4 linked regions of the Arabidopsis thaliana genome follow. The protein of the gene in region 2 purifies or fractionates together with the protein of the main gene of each other region. This does not show direct contact. Each region holds a gene or a part of one and is shown on either strand. Other genes may lie near its edges. The genes, in order: PHB5, VDAC3, PHB3 and PHB4.

Region 1 (3,486 bases), 280 kb from region 2:
CTAGCTGAAGTAACAAGCGCGTGTCAGAACGCGTGGACGCTCGCCGGAGCAAGGAAGAATGATCCGGAATCACGATTAGCTGTGAAAGTGTACGATCTCTTGTCTCCTCCGTTTTACGCCTTCTACAGTATCGTTAGGGGTGTGTTGGGACCTTTGTTTTTCGGGAAAATGGTAGCGTTTTACGCTCGAGGTGGTGCTCATGGTGTGATACCTAATTGGTTGTGGATTTCTTGGGCAATTGTTGTTGGAATTGCTATTACTGTTAGTATACTTTGGATTTGGAATCTCTGGATAGAATTGTTTAGTGAAAGGAAAGCTAACAAAATCAGAGTAGACAAGAAAATTAGATAGTTTCTTCTTTCTTCTCTAGATCATTGTTTGATCTTCCTTTTCATGTACTATATATAATATATATACCATTATTATTCTCACCTTTTAGAATTCCTCTAAATGATGTATGTTTTGGAATAATAGATTTGCTTTTGGGTAAGCAGTATGTGCAAAATGCACTTTTAATTCAACTCTGTATTGTTCAGAAGTTCTTCTCTTAAGAGTTTCTTCCATACACATATGTCTTGTCTCTCTGCTACACTTGGTTGCTCACATCTTGATTCTTGATATTGATGAGAAACGTTTTCTTTATGAAGTGTGCCATTCTTGGTGAGTTATATTTGGCTTTATAACTCTCTTTGTTTACGGCCAACACCAAGTCCCCTGAAACCAGCAACTGGTAAGCCATATATTCTTTTACTTGGAAGAATCAAAAGTTAGCTGGGGAAGTGTAAGAAATTACGAAACACAGAGATTCATATCTTCGATCATTGGATTGTGAACTTTTCATGTGTTGAAGAGGATAGGAAGAGAATTGGGGACTAAACATACCATCCAAGCTGAGACATGGTGTTAGGCAGTCTGTTGTGGAAAGCTGAATGATATACCATTTGGCCAATGAATAGCATAAAATACACAAATTTAACCAATTTACTGAGAAGAGCATGGAATTAGAGAAAAATCTTTTAAGATCAAATAATCCCAAAGATAATAAGGAAAATGAAGGGATTGCTCAAACAAGGGGAATTATAAGGGACACATACAACAAGTCATTGTTGAATCTCATTTCAGTTCTTGGCCTTGATAGAATGGTTCTCCTTGATTCTAGCTCTGGTATCCAGCTTCACAAAACGTTTAAGATCATCAAAACTAAGAGTCTCAACGTTCTTCCTTCTAAGTTCGCTAAGCGCCGGTCGCTTATCAAGCAGATGCCATAAATAATCAGGGTGATCTGAATTAGGCAAGATCTTAGGGTCCAATCCATCTTTCAGAGTATTAGCACTAACAACCATACTCGATTTGATCTCTTTGCTCAAGTTCGATGCTTTTGGTGCATCATTACCTCCATCTCCCCTCCCAACCTTCTTCGCTTTACCAGCAGCTGTAGCAAATGTTCTTTGGCACACAAATCGCATTACATCTTTGGATCTAGAAATGGAATCCCCAAACATTCGAATAAGGTTCATATCAACAACCTTATACCTGCAAATTCACAAAATAAAACTAAATAAATCTACACAATCCTATAATGTTCGTTCTCGGATTTAGATCAAGATTCGAGTTTTGTCGAAGATTTTTGGGTGAGGGTTTAACTCGCAAGATAGAGATAGGTAGCGAGTGCATCGCGGGAACTGGTAAAACTTATTAAAAAGTAACGGACCGGAAAATTAAAAGACCCGTCTAAAAGCCCACCAATAGTAATGCATACAAGTAACACGTGGCAGGTATGGTTGACCGAGTGAGTAACAGAACGTGAGAAAACCGACCCGCTAAATAAGAACCCGCCCAATATAATAAGCTTTCTCCTTAACTTCTGCCTCACGCAAAAAAAAAAACTTCCTATAAAACCTCATCTCCTGCGTTCTCTAACTACTTCTCACCTATCTGACAAGAAAAGAAACCCTAAACAACATAAAAAGAAACCTAAAATCCATACAGGAGACATTCAAAGCCAATCATGCCTTGGTCAAAGTTCACAAAGGTAGCTCTAGGTCTAGGAGCTGCCATAGCGGCTGTGAGATCAACAATGTTCACCGTTGATGGTGGCCAGAGAGCTGTTATGTTCCACCGATTCGAAGGGATTCTAGAAGAACCAGTAGGAGAAGGGACACATCGTAAGATTCCGTGGGTGCAAAAGCCGTATATCTTCGACATTCGGACCAAACCCTACAAAATCAATACCGACTCTGGAACTAAGGATCTTCAGATGGTCAACCTCACACTTCGTGTTATGTTTCGCCCTGATGTAAGTTCCCGCGAATATCCAAAAAATTTCACTAATAAGATTTTGTGATATATATGTAAAATAATATATAACTGTTTTCCGTGGGTTCGTGTTAGGTTTCGCGCCTCTCGTATATATACCAAAACTTAGGTCTCGACTATGGTGAAAAGGTCCTACCAGCGATCGGGACGAGGTGGTTAAAGCGGTGGTGGCTCAGTTCAACGCTGACGAGCTCTTAACAGAACGTCCACAGGTCTCAGCTCTTATACGCGAAACGTTGATCAAGCGAGCTAAGGAGTTCAACATTGTTCTCGATGACGTGTCGATCACTGGTCTCTCATACGGTAAAGAGTTCTCACTTGCGGTGGAGCGGAAGCAGGTGGCACAGCAAGAAGCTGAGCGGTCCAAGTTCGTAGTGGCAAAGGCTGATCAGGAGAGACGAGCGGCTGTGATTAGAGCAGAAGGAGAGAGCGAGGCGGCTCGGGTTATATCGAAAGCGACTGCAGGGGCTGGGATGGGGTTGATCAAGCTCAGAAGGGTCGAGGCGGCTAGAGAGGTTGCGATTACGCTCTCTAATTCTCCCAATGTCGTCTATTTGCCAAGTGGTGGGAATATGTTGTTTGCAATGAACGGTCCAAGCAAAGTTGTTGCTTGAATTAGTTGCAAAAATATGGTGTTCAATGGTTATATTGATTTGTGTGTTTTAAGATTTTCATTTTTTTATATAGTTTCCTAGTATTGGATCACCCTAGTATACTCCAGTTGAGACTGTTCTTGCGAGTCTGAGACTCGCACACATGACACATGACACATCTACTGTTAAGTCGACATTGACATCAAATTAAACAATCACTGTGCCAATCAAACTTATGCATAGACCTAGAGATAATTAAGTAGTCCAAGTTCAAAGGTTGATCTAACCTGGATCAGTGCCCTTGGTAGCTATGGCACATACTTCCTCACTAGGGAAAATGGGAGCTGATTATCCAGCAGCTTTCGATTAGATATCAACAAACAAAATGCAAATTAGGTTATCTTAGAAAGAAAAAAAAACAAGCTATTCATCGGATCACAAGTCACAAGTGTCACCTCGAAAGAAACTTGGGCCCATCTATATTATCTTATGGGCCTTATCGACCGATTCAAATATTGCAAATTAGTGTCGTTAACCTTTTTTGAAAACATACGGCCATTAGTGACAATTTAATTAA
Region 2 (5,407 bases):
TTGAGGGCCATTTTTCAATCAAAGGTGCTCAAAAAGTGACTCAGCTTGCTGCACAATGTCTTAGCCGTGACCCCAAGATTAGGCCAAAGATGAGTGATGTTGTGGAAGCACTTAAACCACTTCCGCATCTGAAAGACATGGCAAGCTCTTCTTACTACTTCCAGACAATGCAAGCTGAACGTTTGAAAAATGGGTCAGGTCGATCCCAAGGATTTGGATCAAGAAACGGGCAACACCAACCCGTGTTTCGAACACTGTCTAGTCCTCATGGTTCTTCGCCTTATCGACATCAGATTCCTTCGCCAAAGCCTAAAGGAGCAACTACATAGCTCTTACGTGGTGGAAATAGGCCACAAACGAACAGAGCTAGAAGGCTCAAGCTTTTATCGTCGTTTTTAAGCAACAAGGAGATATTTTTAAACAACGTTAGGGTAACTCTTTAATTGATTAATAATGTACGATGGAGAAGGGTAAATCCAAATGGAAAAAAAAAAAACTGATTTTGTCTTCCATTGCTGAAAGCATAGAAAAGTTATAAATTGAAAACATTTTTGATGCTCTTTATAAATTGAAAACACCAAGTATCTACCATTTTCAAACGCAAAAGCCAGTATCCCGGAAACAGAGGTATCGTGTTTGTTCATCTACTTCTGGTGGTCAGAATGATAGATTCAAAGTAGAGTACACTCCTTGGCTTATCGTTGGGTTGGGCAATCCAGGAAACAAGTATCATGGAACAAGACACAATCTTTTTCTTTTACTGATTTGCTGGATTTGATCTCGGCAATGCTACAACTTTGTGTTGTTTTCAGGTTGGTTTCGAGATGATCGATGTGTTGGCTCGAAAAGAAGGGGTTTTGATGAACACGATACAGTCCAAAGCTCTAATCGGAATAGGTTCTACTTCTCTTGCTTTTGGTTCTTTGGTTTGAAGAATAATAAAACTGATGACTTTTTGGTTCTATGTAAGAATCAGTACAGGTGCTATTGAAGGTGTACCTATCTTGTTGGCTAAACCTCAGATAAAAATCTGACCAACTAGACAAAATTAATTAGACATGTAAGAAGAACCTCATAGAAAAATCCACTAAGGGAACTCCAAATGGAACAAAGTATAGCAGAGGCAGAAAATAAAAGAGAGAACCAAGTAAAAGATATGGAACAGAGTATTGTAGCAGAGGCGGAAAATAAAAGAGAGAGAGCCAAGTAAAACGATCTTAATGGTTCTTTATCGTCAAAGACGATCCTTTCAATAGTATTTTTCTCTTTTATTTTCTACAAATCCCAACACCGAACAAAAAAAACAAATGAAAGATTGTTTAGCAAACCAGACAGCGATTTGTCCAAAGATTTGAAGACGAAAAAGAAATAACACCTATTCTACCCACTTCAGGGCCCATTTGGTGGTATCTTCTCAGGGCTTGAGAGCGAGAGCAATCCCAACCTTGGCACTCTTATCGATCGCCTTAGAATCAACCTCTCCAGAAACGGTGAAGAACGACTTTGGACGCCACTCATGTTGGATCAGAGCGTTAGCCACACCAGCATTGTTCACTCTTGCCTTCACTGTGGTCAATGGGTCAAGCGCGTGTTGAGTTCCGACAGTGATGGCGTTCTCTTTGGTCGTGAAGTTGTGGCTAATCTCAGCTCCAACCACAGTCGACGGGCTCACAATCTGGTAGTAGGATGCATTCAATTTCTCACCTTTGTCATTCCTGAAAAAAAACAGTTTAAGAAACAACTCTTTTAAAACCAGCAGCATTAAAATCTCAAGTCATCATTTCATATGGAGGGAGGCACTTACAGAATGAGGGAAGCAGTCAAATCATCCTTGGTGAAGTTGAAACCAGCATTGAAATGTTTGAAGTTGCCAGATTCGGTGTTATAGGCCACATCAGTACCAAGAGACAAACCATTGGTTCCAACCACACCGGAGAAGTTGACAATCGGGGTAGCTGTGAATCCAACGCTGGTAGAGATACCAGCATAGTCATGGAAATACTGAACCTCAGCCTGCTCAGAAAACAACAAATAATGGTTATCTCCAACATACCAACCTTTAAAAAAACGGAACAGAAAGAAAAGAAAGCTGGTGGAGTTATATACCTTTCCAGATTTGTGATCGGGCAACTTAGCCTGAACAATAACTTTCAGTCCAGGGGCAGGCTCATCAAAGGTAAGAGTGGTCAAAAGCTGAAATTATTCACACACAAAAAAAAATCAATTGAATACTCCAGCAGCAATCGGCAACATCATATATCTACTAGAAACAGCTAAAGCTAAAAAGTCTACTTACAGAAGAATCAGTGGAAACTTTGACATCAGCAGTGAAGTTGTTGTTCTTCACTTGGGTAGCAACATCACCCAAAAACAAGCTTCCTTTGTTTGTTCCCGTTGTAGTGATCGCCTACAAATTTATCACCATTCGACACAAGAAAGAGTCAAGTGAGAGTACACATGAAAACAAACTGTACAACCAAATTTGACATAACAGAAAACTAGACAAATCTCAATTTTATCACTAACAATAAACCCATCGCACCAACAAAATAGAGAATTGACAGAAATAAAAACAATAATAAAAACTTACAACACCAGTTGAAGAGTAAGTGGTGACACTGAATTTCTGGTCTCCTTGGTAATCCCTGTACAGAAGATCTACAATAGCATTCAAAAACCTTCAGATTCAACTCAAATAGAAAAGTTCAACACGAGACAACTACTCTGTATCCTTGATAGACATTTTCCAGATCCAAGATAAAAAATTTCAAAACCAGCTAATCAACGAGTGACCCAAAAATTGAAACCCAGAGAACCAGTCTTGTTATTCTATCTATACAGATAAACGAAACGGATAGCATAAATCTGACGGAAACGAACACAGATATTATCAATCAGCTCACAAAACACGAATATTTAACTTTTTATGCATCTATTCAAATTTCAACGACCTAAGCGTGACCGATAGAAATCGGAATAAAACCAGGAATGAGAAACCCTAACCGATTCAATGAATATCAACCTAAACCCAGATCAGAAAAGAGCTCAAATGTTTACGAAATGTCAACAACAGTCACATTCGCGTCACCATAGAGAAAGAGAGAGAGATCGTACCTCTGGCCTTTTTGCCGATTTCAGTGTAGAGTCCTGGACCTTTAACCATGATTGCCTCTGGAAAAATCGAAGAAGCTTTGAAAGATTCCGAAGTCGAGAAGAAGAGTAATGGAGGATTCTGGAGAAAATGAGGTGTGGTGTTTGTGTATATAAGGGGAAGAAGAAAGGGTAACCCTAAATTAATTTATATTATAATATTGTATTTCCCTGCTTATCAAGTAAAAATATCTCAGCCGTTAGATTAATATGACATGAGTCGGTGTCCCTCTTTATCAACCGTTGATTATATATTCCCCTCTCTCCAAGGCATTTTTTTTATGTTTTTTATTTGATTTTCGTATTCTTATTTTATTTTTTTATGGCTTTTTTCCATTTTTCATTGCGTGGCAAGCAAAGCAGGCCGTGTACTCTCTAGTTTTCTTCATCCCCAAAATTTATTTATTTTTATATAATTTTTTTTTTGTTGTTGAGTCTTTGACAATGTCTATTTATTTTCTTAGAGTTAACCATCTGAATTGTTCTTATTAATGTGATATTTAAATTTTCTTAAATGGTGTTCTTTTATATTTACTCCTATATAGTATCTATTATCCTATTTTTTAAAAAGAATAAGTCAAAATTTTGATTTTACTAGTTGACATGTTTTTTTCTAATTTAATATCAGGAGAAAAATGATTTACAATAATTAAAGAGAATGGTTGACATTATTAGCTTTATAATTTCAACATCTAAAAAACTATGACTAAATTAAATACCATATAAAATCCAAAATTAAGAGCCTACGTATAAAACATGTTTTTTTTTTGAACATGTCATATTCATAGGTCCAATAGAAAATAATATGCCAAAGTTGTTGGTAAGGCAATTAGCATTCCAAATATCACCCTGAAAAAGCAAAACAATAAAAACCACAAAAATAAATTTCAAAAAAATTGTAATAAGAAGAAGGAAAAAAAAAAATCAAATCAAGAAATATATTTATTTACCCAGTACTAATGATCTCCGGGTGAAGATTATACTCTTTTGCAAAAACAAATGGCACTACTCCTTGAGGCAATGCTGCCTACAACACAATAAATCAATCGACAAAAACATATATATGACAGATTTTATTATTAACGGATTATTAATTTTAATATTTTCACCTGTAATATTGCTACTTTGAAGAGAGTACTTTTTAATCTGATGCAATACGCAGAAGCAATCATAAGAGCAGGTCCTAATACGAACTTGAGCAGCATTGTTATAATCGCCATTTTTGTACCACATGCTATGATACTACTTTGTGATGCCATGAACAGACCTGTTTCATTTTTTGTTAAATTAAATTTAATTTCCAATCATGAAAGTTTAGTTTTTTTTTTTTTTTTGTATAGATATATAGCTTACCTAAGCTGAACATGGCCATTCCTAAGCCTCCATCAGATAATAAATGTATTGATTTATCAATCATCTCAGGCAAATTCCATCCCAATCTATTGGAGAAAATAAATAAAAACATGAGTAACATTTGATACAAACTATTAAAAAAAGAAGCTAATCTTAATAGTTGGGAATATCACTTGACTATCACTTTTCGATTTTAAAATATTAAAAAAAATGAATTTGTAGATGCGAAAAATGATCAAACAGAAAGCTTAAAATAGGGGAAACTCACTACTAAATTATCGCTTTTCTTTTTGAAAAAGAGAAAAGGAAGTGTTTGAATATGTAAGATGATAAAGATTGAATCTTTAGATGTGTAAGATGATTTATCACAAAAGATATGATTGCAGTGTTAAATATAAGAGAGTTTTGTTTTCACACCTGAAATGTAAAGTAGCCCAAATGATTCCGATCAATGTTGCGTATGTATTTGGATTGATTATAAGCTTTCTCCAAGCCTTCAATAGAATCTTCATAGTTCCAACAGATCTTGTTCTCACTATTGCTACTTCTTCTTCGTCCTCTTCTTCTTTTGGCTCGTCCTCTATATTAGCCTCTTCCTGGTCATTGCCTTGTTTTACAAGAAACCAAGATTTAATTAGGGTAAATCATTTTTTATCGAAAAAACGGAATGATTTTTAGTTACCTGTATGTTCTAGGGAAGCTCCAGAAGATGGTAACGCCCTTGCGGCGTTAAGCTCGAACAAAAAGAGCAAGATGGTGTACCAAATCAAGCTTTGCAAGACAACAATCTGCTCCAAGATGCTCGCAGCTTCATCTCCATAGATGGCACTCAAGATTGGCATTCCAAGAATGAGAGTATTTGGCAACACCGATATAGATAATCCGGTTATGACCCAACCCAATT
Region 3 (5,232 bases), about 11 Mb from region 2:
AGACGAATTAAAGGTAGAAACATTTTCTAACGCCACCCTTAAACCAAAGCAGTCTCTGAGATCGTTTTTTTGTTACATTACAAATGCTCTAACTATAGACACAATCCAGACACAAACTTTTGCATCATACAATTCAGGAGCTAACATTTGTATCCATTTTGATGATTATTACAGGTTGCGTGGGAGATCTTCACGCCGCTACTCCACAGGATCGACAAAGGAGAAGTAAAGTCAATCCCATACAAACCAGGAAGCCGAGGACCGAAAGAAGCTGATCAGCTACTAGAGAAAGCTGGTTATCTTCAGACTCACGGCTATATCTGGATCCCTCCTACACTATAAAACCCTACATATATATAAATACACAATACATGTATCTACATGTATATGTATAAATTATGCTGAATAGTCCCTCCTCGAGTTTGGTGTTTGTACGTGAAACTTGCTACTTCAGCTGTTCACTTTGACACTTCCTTTGGTCTTGTATTTGCGGCTTTGTAGAAATAAAAATAAAAATCTTACCAATACCATAAATGAATTTAGCTTTTGTTGTGCTCGTTAAATGAATGAAATTGACGATGAGATAGAAAAAATTGCCAAAAAATGTAGAGTTTGTTGATATACACACATAAGTTCAATCTAGAGGTGGTTGAAACACACATTAAGTTCCATCTAGAGTTTGTTGACACAGACACATAAGTTGAGTCTAGGAACCGACGCCGTCTTTACATAGTCATCATTATCATTAGATGACCAAAAAAAAAAAAACTAAAACCGATGGATAAAATGGATCTCGATAGAAAAGGCTATCTTTCATGATTTCTCTTCTTTATTTGCTTTGTTTCTGAACTTGCTCTGTTTATGCAAAAACAATTGAATGTCCATACAGATCGAAATTTGACGTAGACTATCGACAGTTTATGCAAAATAGGTACCATCTAGATAATCCAGATGTGACCATAGTTTATCCGCATAGAACAACACTCCTAGGTACCATCTGTATTTTCTTTTCTCACGCATGTGTAACAAACAAATTACTTACAGTTCAGCCAAAATCATTTATTTGTTGAGAATTAGATAAACATGATGCTGAAAACAAAGATTCTTCAGGTAGAGTAAATTTTGCCGAGATTCAGAACACAATAATGACAACTCAAACAACTAGTTTCTTTTTCTTCTTCAGAGTTCATCAAAACAAAAGAGCATTTCACCTTTTTGATTCAATCAGATTCACAACTTGATCATTAAAATATCGCAAAATGCTCCCAAACAACCTGCACATAACCATAATACAAAGCCTTCAGACAAATCACAAAACGACTTAATTCTATGGATTCAGATGAAGCTTTTACATACCATCATATCTGATCAAGATCAACGGTTCAGGGCAAAGAGCATGCTCTGGCCACCGGGTAAGTAGGCCACATTAGGAGACCTAGCAAGTGTAGACGCAATCTCCCTTGAAGCTTCAATCCTCCTAAGCTCGATAAGTCCCATACCAGCTTTAGCCGTAGCATCAGAAATCAACTGAGCAGCTTCACTTTCACCTTCAGCTCTTATAACCGCAGCTCTCCTCTCTTGATCAGCCTTCATCACAACAAACTTAGACCTCTCTGCCTCTTGCTGAGCCACTTGTTTCTGCTCAACAGCCCTTGAAAACTCCACACCATAGGACAAATGCGTGATAGCTACATCATCAAGCACAATGTTGAAGTCCTTCGCACGGGTGATTAGTGACTCCCGAACAAGTGCTGAGACGTGAGGACGCTCAGTGAGAAGCTGGTCAGCGTTGAACTGTGCAACCACAGCTTTCAAAACCTCATTTCCAATCGAAGGAAGAACCTTCTCGTCATACTCTAGACCCAAAGTTTGGAAGATGTACGGGAGACGCGACACCTTCACAACAATTCACATCACATAAACACACCAAATTAATAACGATTCTACAATACCTAGTCCTCGAAACAAATTTTGAAAATCATAGATCATCAAAACCCTAAACCCTAAATCCAATTCGCAAATGAATCTGAAAAACCTCAATTCAGAGAAATCAAACGAGTCTAGATCAAAAATGAAGAACCGTTATGCGTTATACCTCAGGACGAGAGAGAACACGAAGAGTGAGATTAACCATCTGGAGATCCTTAGTACCAGAGATTGAAGAGAACGTGTGAGGCTTCGTGCGGATATCGAAGATGTGAGGCCTCTGAAGAATCGGGATCAAGAAATGAGTCCCTTCACCCACAGTCTGATCCATCACTCCCCTGAATCGATCGAAGATAACAGCTCTTTCTCCGCCGTCAACGGTGAAAAGCGATGTATTCAGCACCGTCGCCGCCGTTCCAAGACCGAAAGCAGCCTTCGCCAAATTGGAAAGGAACGAAACAGCCGCTTGTTGGCTTCCCATTTTTGCGTGTGGATTATCTTGAATCGAGAGAGAAGAAGAAGGAAGAAGAGATTTGAGACGACGAGAGAGGAAAGAGTTTCTGCTAGGGTTTATGATATGTTTCTGGAACCTACCACGGGAAATGATTTAATGGGCCAAGTAACTTAGCCCAATATTATTATGTGACTATATAAGCCTATTAAGAACTAAATTCAATAATGGGTTTCATGACATTGGGCTGAAAACAGCTTAACGGTTACAGAGTATGTTTAATATCTTTTTGTCTCATAAATTATGTTTCTCTCAATTTTTTTTATTTTTTTTTTACTGAAAGATAGATTATAGATAGAGTTTACAAAGTTAAAGCTGACGATTAACAAGATAATCTCAAAAACTAAGTCGACGGATAACAAAAATCCTCGGAGACTAAAGCCCAAAAGTATGGGAAGCTAACAAACATTACTTTAAATGCATAAGAAAATAGAAACTGAACCATGGAAAATCAAAAACTATAACCAGAATCTAGCACATGAGACATTGCCCACCATCAATCCAAGATAAAGAAAAGCTTGCAGAAATGGCTAAACGACGGGGAAATTCTAATCCACAGCATCAAGATAGCAGCTCTTCTTATAACAAATGAAGACTACCTCACAGTTCAAAAACAGCATCCCAACCAGCAAGAAGAAACCAAATATAAAACAGCAAAATCGAGGCAATGAAAACCAAGATCGGTCAACGCCAATAGTTTATCTCAATTTGTTTAATCAAATAAAAATTGAAGAATATACCTACTTGGACATTTGTATGGTGTTAAGGGCCTACTATAAAAGTATTAGATTAGTACAAGCCAACGGTAGTGAACAAAAATATTCTTCGAGCTACTTGACAAACACGAAGTTGAATAAGGATAACTACTTTTTCGTATAAGAAAAATATTTACATGTGAGCATGATTAATCCTTTTCAAATATAACGGCAGGGGACGTTGTTGTTGAGTTTTTCCAGTATAAAAAGTGTTTTTTTTTCCTTAAAAGAAAAGTTGTGAAACAATGATATCTATTTTTGAAAACTTTTTGTGACTATTTTTTGACCAACAAACAGTATACGCGAATACTTTTCTATTCGGTTAAGTGGGATTTGAAGACAGATGTACACGAGTATTAAAACTGAATCTGAAAGCATGTAAATCTCCAAATATTTTATCCGTAAAATTGTTATGTATCTTCGACCAAAAAAATATAGAGATATTATGTATCACTTAATTAATATGACTCAATTAAGTCGTCTCGAATACTAAGAAAATTATGGAGTTTTACTTGGAAGGTCACACAGTGACCTCACCACGTTATCGAAAATGTCAAATGTTTCGGTGTCGAATCTTATACAGGTTTGAAAATAACCTTTAAAATAGATTTATATTACAGAAAAGTCCTTCAATATTGATTTTCAATTAAAATATTGCAGAGAAATCTTTAATTTCAAAAACTAAACGCCAACTTCAAAGATTGAGCTAAATTCGATTCTTTCAACATTTTGACTCCAACCGGATATATATGTAGTCATCAATATTATCGAAACAGGTAAAAGAAACAACCCAAGTGAAGGAAACATGAATCTTTGATAACCAATTAGAGTGAGAAGTGTATAATTGTAAAATAAACAAACTGAAACTAATATTAATATATATATATATAATTATATATATACTACTACTACTATACTAGGTTATTTTGTCAAATATATATATATGGTACATGACAACAATAATAAGAAACAATTTACACTTTTGTGTTTGCTCATCAAGAAATTTGGAACAAAGTCCAACTAATCTTGGGATAGATCGACCAAAACAAAACGTTCACTTGGTTTTTAATCGGTCAGAAAGAATATGTTTAGGCTAAACATTGAATCGAATTATCATCTGACCACCAATGGTAGATCAATAAAAAGTATTGATGTGTTTTTATCTAGCTAGTGAAAAAATTTTAGAATTGCCATTTACTTAAATATGAGACTCATTACATATAATGCAAATATTCTTTAGTCTAAGCTATAATGGATGCTCATTTGTTGTTTAGTGCACATAATTTTCCTCCACCAATGGCCAGTATTTGTTTACAAACTAGTATAAGATAATGTAAGCTAATTATCACATACATGATGTCACGTTGATACACTAAATTATAAAAATTATAATTTAGTGTCAAAGTGCAGATCGAAACTATAGCTAATTGGTGGTGTTGAAATTATTCATACCTTAGTAATAATTATAAAATCAATTGATTGTAATCTAATAGTTTCGTTGACCATATACAACGAAGATGAAATAGATTGACGAGTAAATAAAAATAAATTTGCAATCTGGTGGAGATAAATTTCATCCTTAACCTACAACACTAGGTGACACGTAACAATTAAACCGAGTCAACTGATTATTTCTTTGAAGAAAACTTCCTCTCGTGTACAGCTTCCGAGATGCTTCACTGGAGGCATTAACTACTTTGATCATTTGATTTTTGTTTGCACAATCACTAAATGCAGATACAAACATGCCCGCGCTGAACTATATTACATAAGCATGTATCTCTCATTCGATGCGGAGATACAGACGGAACACTCGAGTTGCCAATTGCGGTTTAGTCTACACGCTTCTATTGAAATAAACATAACAAGTCTAAGATTATGAGCTTACGACATTGGACAACATCCATATAAAACTCCTGTAAACTGTAATTAGGTTATTTAAACCAGTAATTCATATATATAGGATATTTAGTGAGTTGCTTCTTTGAACAACGTATCTCTTTTTTTATTTTTGTCTACTATATTTTCATAAAGTTTTAC
Region 4 (4,457 bases), on a different chromosome or scaffold from region 2:
TAGAAATAATAATTCCTGATATATAGCAATATGACACTTAGATTTATTATTCATAAAACACTCTATTAACAAAGAAAAATAAAAACTTATAAAAGGAAAAACAAAATGTCTAAAAGTTTGATTTATAATGATAGATGCTTAATGCAACAAAAAAAAAAGGTGTTATTTGCGGTTAAACTTTTGGTTTATAAATTACAAGATATACAAATATTGAAAAAATGGAACTTCTTATACTCATTTAAAAAAAAAATTAAGGAAATTTGTCAAAATTGTAATTTAGCTGTAAAATAAATCACTACAAGGAGATAAAATCGTAAATAATATTAAATCTTCTACCAAATATATTTTCATTGAAAAAAAACAAAAATATGCATATATAATCAATACGATATAAATACTTGTAATTGATCGAATTATTGTATTAGGAAAAGCAATGAATTGGGAATTGTGTGATGATTATCCAAGCAAAGCACCGCCAGAGACGTGTAATAAGGTAGACGGTGCTAGGAGGTGCCGAACGAGTTGTAACAACGAAGGTTATGGTGGAGCAAATTGTAATTTGAAGGGAAAAGTTAAAGTTTGTGAATGCACTATACTTAGAGTTTGTCTACCCCACCACAAGAGGCCACCGCATGTACCGAAGCCACCAAAGTGACCACATAAAAAAGTTTTATTTAATTTATTTACCATGTTTTAATTTATATTTTAAATAATACAAGTACAACAACCTTGGTGTTGGAAATTGTTTTTGACAATACAAATTTCGACTATTGTTATGGTAGATTTTTTGGTGAAGCCTTTCATTGGAATGATCGGGTTTCGACAACAATGGCATAGTCTTTACTTCTAGAGTCAGAAAAGATAGAACGGCTCAAAACAATTATCTTTTTTCACATCGTGTTCATCAGAAATAAAAGAGCATCAACGTTAATAAACTTCACAGCTCCGTCGTTTTGTCTCCACTGAAGCTCCTCTTCCCACCTGCAAATACAACAAGGCCAAACAAGTAAACCACACCATTCCACAAACCTAAACCATACTCTACTATCAAACCAAACAGTTTATACCAAACCATAACCACTCTTAGTTCAACCAAACCGAATAACCTTAATGCCTTTAAATGGGAATCTTAAGTCCAAATCCATTTTTCATTCATTATTCAAAGAAGTAAAAGAGCATACCAATGTTATAGCTCAACGACCAGGGTTCAGATTAAAGAGCATGCTTTGTCCACCAGGTAAGTAAGCCACGTTCGGAGACCTAGCCAGAGTAGCCGCAACCTCCCTTGAAGCTTCAATCCTCCTAAGCTCAATTAGTCCCATTCCTGCTTTAGCTGTTGCATCTGATATCAACTGAGCAGCTTCACTCTCACCTTCTGCTCTTATAACCGCAGCTCTCCTCTCTTGATCAGCCTTCATCACCACAAACTTTGACCTTTCAGCTTCCTGCTGAGCCACTTGCTTCGCCTCCACTGCCCTCGAGAACTCAGCACCGTACGATAAGTGAGTAATGGCTATGTCGTCGAGCTCAATGTTAAATTCCCTGGCACGCTTGATAAGAGCATCACGAACAAGTGCTGATACTTGAGGACGCTCAGTGAGGAGCTGATCAGCATTGAAATTAGCAACCACAGCTTTCAAGACCTCATTTCCAATCGATGGAAGAACCTTCTCATCGTATTCAAGACCCAATGTTTGGAAAATGTACGGGAGACGCGAAACCTTCACAGTAAAATAACCACAACAACTTATTCAATCCCTCAAACAATCGAAGCCAGCATAGATATGCACCAAAAGCTTCTATAATAAGAGTAACATTCATCGAAGAAACCAAATTACACATAAGGATTATCTTCAACTCTAGATCTTGTACACAAACTTCAAATTCCACGAAATCAAACACAGAATCGATAAATGATTGCTAAATCGAACGAACACGATCATCCTAAACCCTCGATCTTGTAAACAACCAATGTATACAAAATCAAACACAGAATCGAGAAATTGATTGTTGCTAAAATCGAAATTACCTCAGGGCGAAAGAGAACACGAAGGGTGAGATTAACCATCTGAAGATCCTTAGTACCAGATTTGGAGGAGAAAGTGTGAGGTTTCGTACGAATATCGTATATGTGCGGCGTCTGGAGATACGGGATCAAGAAATGAGTCCCTTCGCCGACGGTCTGATCCAACACTCCCCTGAATCGATCGAACAAAACAGCTCTCTCGCCACCATCAACAGTGTAGAGCGACGAGTTTAGTGCCGTCGCCGCCACACCTAACCCAAACGCCGCCTTCGCCAAGTTCGTCAGAAACGAAATCGCTACTTGTTGACTTCCCATTTTCTTTTCTGACCTCACAAGAAAAAAGCTTCGAAGGAGAGAATTGAGAAAGGAAAGATTTAGGGGTTTGTTAGGGTTTATGAAATGATTTTGGAACTTGGAAGAGAGGGTTTTTTTTGGCCGACAATTATTGAATATGGGCTTGTTTAAAGCCCATTAATAATATAAACTACTTCGGCCCAATAATAAAAAAGGAAAAGGAAATGATGTAATATAAAAGGAAACAACGGTTTGGAAGATTAAACCCGAATTTGATTATTTGCCCATAAACGAAACTAAATCCGGAGAGGAAGACAGAGACGAAGAGCGTGTTGATAACAACCCTGCAGAGATTTTGGATCTTCTTAGAGAGCAAGATGAAAATGTTCTTCCTCCACCTCCTCCTTCACCTTGATTAGAGATTTTGATTAGAGTGAATAAGCACAAAAGACTAAAATTGATTTTTCTATACAACCAGTGGAAAATGTTATATACAAGAAATTCTATATAAAGACAATGAGACCTCTGACTTTGGACAGCAAAAGTAGATAAAAAGAAACATCTAAGGCTGCTTCCACAAATTGAACTAAATCGTCGATCTCTTCATCGTGTGTTTTCTTCTTCTTTGCTGCGTGTGGACTCAGATAGATCTTGCACATAGCATAATTGCCCTACTCAAACAAAACAACAGAAGTCGTCACAATAAAAACCAAAACTCAAGAGTCTCAATAACTTGGAAACCAAGTAAGTAAACGTACATATATACTCTTACCAGCTCGTAGTTATTAATATCATCAGAAGACTTAAGCCAGTGTTCATGCATCAACCAACCCTCTTTTACGCCATTTTGGTTGTTTTCCAATGTAGTACTCTAGTGAGTATTTGTAGCCGACAAGGCCTGCTTCTCCAGCATGAATCTTCTTGGCAGAGATGATACTACCCTCCAGTATCCTCCATTGTCTCTACGATTCATTCTTTTTCCACATTTCCCCATCTTGGTCCTCCCAGATATAAAGAACCATTCCGTCTTGTTACCCTTCACAAACTCCTCCGTTTCGAATCAAAAGAAAGACGCCGTTTTACATACAGAAAACACCAGAAGAGGATTAACGATATCGCCTTATATCTTTATTACTTGGATTTCAATTCTGGCTTGGACTAAGCTAAAAACAGAGACTGCTCCCACAATTCTTTGGAAATTAGTAGGAGTTGCTCATGCTACAGCTTACCATGTTTGGAAACAAATGAACAACTTGTTGCACAATAGTGTCTCCGTTTCGCCTTTGGCCACCTTCAAAGAAATCGACGGAGACATCAAAAAACACTATTACCGCTCGCATAAACAGAAAAGCTTTTCGGAATCTGATGATCTTGTAACTCCGATAAATTTTGTTGATGGACTCATTTTATATCTTTTTGGCAAGATTACATTTGTTTGGTTAAGCTATTTTTAAAACCTCAACTTTCATTAATATGATAATCACATTCCTATACTCGTAATACCCTCCCTTAAGATGAAATCTGAATTAAAATCTAAAACTTTGATGAATCGATGAAGATCAGTGGAATATATCAGTTTCTGTCAGATTGAGATCGAGAGAAAAACAAGTGGGAGCTATTTAAAATGACACTTCATTCTTTAATCACCACTCTTTGTTTACTCCTTCGGGTTTTGATGATATTGTAATTTGTAAATATGGGCGAGGTCAGCCTGGCGAGACCTACACCAAGTTAAATTCATCTTTTTAGGAGAAAAAATCCCTCCCAACATGCTTTGAACTCAACACCTCCATCTGGGAGATTTACTATTGGACCAACAGATTGTTGATGTCAAACTCATCCTTCAAGCTACATTTTGTGAGATTTCGAAAGAGTCTAACTCTAGACTTCATGGAGGAACCTCTAACATGTGAAATCTAACAGACCATTCCCCTCCAATTGGTTTGGATTCGTTCAATTATCCATCTCTTAACTAGAATCTTAAAGCATGTTTATCTTGTGGTTGTTTAAATTTTAATCTATCTTACTTCCTCTCTTATTTTGCTCAAGAAAAAATAAATGAAAAAAAGTGTTAATTAAAAAGTTGGTCTGAAATTTGTATAAACTTCTAGAGGGAATGAATTCAAGTCCTAATTTT

The links.
Region 1: the proteins of VDAC3 (region 2) and PHB5 fractionate together in Arabidopsis thaliana (co-fractionation; one large-scale study listed by BioGRID). This does not show direct contact.
Region 3: the proteins of VDAC3 (region 2) and PHB3 fractionate together in Arabidopsis thaliana (co-fractionation; one large-scale study listed by BioGRID). This does not show direct contact.
Region 4: the proteins of VDAC3 (region 2) and PHB4 fractionate together in Arabidopsis thaliana (co-fractionation; one large-scale study listed by BioGRID). This does not show direct contact.

Annotation. Positions count from the first base shown.
Region 1 is NC_003076.8:4,611,094-4,614,579, forward strand, and holds PHB5 (prohibitin 5), read left to right. Parts: upstream 1-2,008; coding exon 2,009-2,296; intron 2,297-2,468; coding exon 2,469-2,930; downstream 2,931-3,486. Other genes in the region: AT5G14285 (DNA-binding storekeeper), read left to right, coding at 1-351; AT5G14290 (Mitochondrial ribosomal protein L37), read right to left, coding at 1,119-1,517.
Region 2 is NC_003076.8:4,888,227-4,893,633, forward strand, and holds VDAC3 (voltage dependent anion channel 3), read right to left. Parts: upstream 3,378-5,407; 5' UTR 3,164-3,377; coding exon 3,115-3,163; intron 2,659-3,114; coding exon 2,591-2,658; intron 2,408-2,590; coding exon 2,297-2,407; intron 2,194-2,296; coding exon 2,107-2,193; intron 2,014-2,106; coding exon 1,805-2,013; intron 1,716-1,804; coding exon 1,415-1,715; 3' UTR 1,297-1,414; exon of another isoform or gene 1,067-1,296; intron 945-1,066; 3' UTR 738-944; downstream 1-737. Other genes in the region: AT5G15080 (Protein kinase superfamily protein), read left to right, coding at 1-329; PIN8 (Auxin efflux carrier family protein), read right to left, coding at 3,933-3,999, 4,101-4,177, 4,260-4,417, 4,504-4,589, 4,921-5,110, 5,186-5,407. UniProt on the Arabidopsis thaliana protein: Forms a channel through the mitochondrial outer membrane that allows diffusion of small hydrophilic molecules. The channel adopts an open conformation at low or zero membrane potential and a closed conformation at potentials above 30-40 mV.
Region 3 is NC_003076.8:16,314,215-16,319,446, forward strand, and holds PHB3 (prohibitin 3), read right to left. Parts: upstream 3,078-5,232; 5' UTR 2,408-3,077; coding exon 2,096-2,407; intron 1,897-2,095; coding exon 1,375-1,896; 3' UTR 1,357-1,374; intron 1,275-1,356; 3' UTR 636-1,274; downstream 1-635. Other genes in the region: G6PD6 (glucose-6-phosphate dehydrogenase 6), read left to right, coding at 1-13, 175-342. UniProt on the Arabidopsis thaliana protein: Prohibitin probably acts as a holdase/unfoldase for the stabilization of newly synthesized mitochondrial proteins. Necessary for mitochondrial and cell metabolism and biogenesis.
Region 4 is NC_003074.8:10,074,788-10,079,244, reverse strand, and holds PHB4 (prohibitin 4), read right to left. Parts: upstream 2,437-4,457; 5' UTR 2,342-2,436; coding exon 2,030-2,341; intron 1,722-2,029; coding exon 1,194-1,721; 3' UTR 1,182-1,193; exon of another isoform or gene 982-1,181; 3' UTR 637-981; downstream 1-636. Other genes in the region: AT3G27270 (TRAM, LAG1 and CLN8 (TLC) lipid-sensing domain containing protein), read right to left, coding at 3,539-3,611. UniProt on the Arabidopsis thaliana protein: Prohibitin probably acts as a holdase/unfoldase for the stabilization of newly synthesized mitochondrial proteins.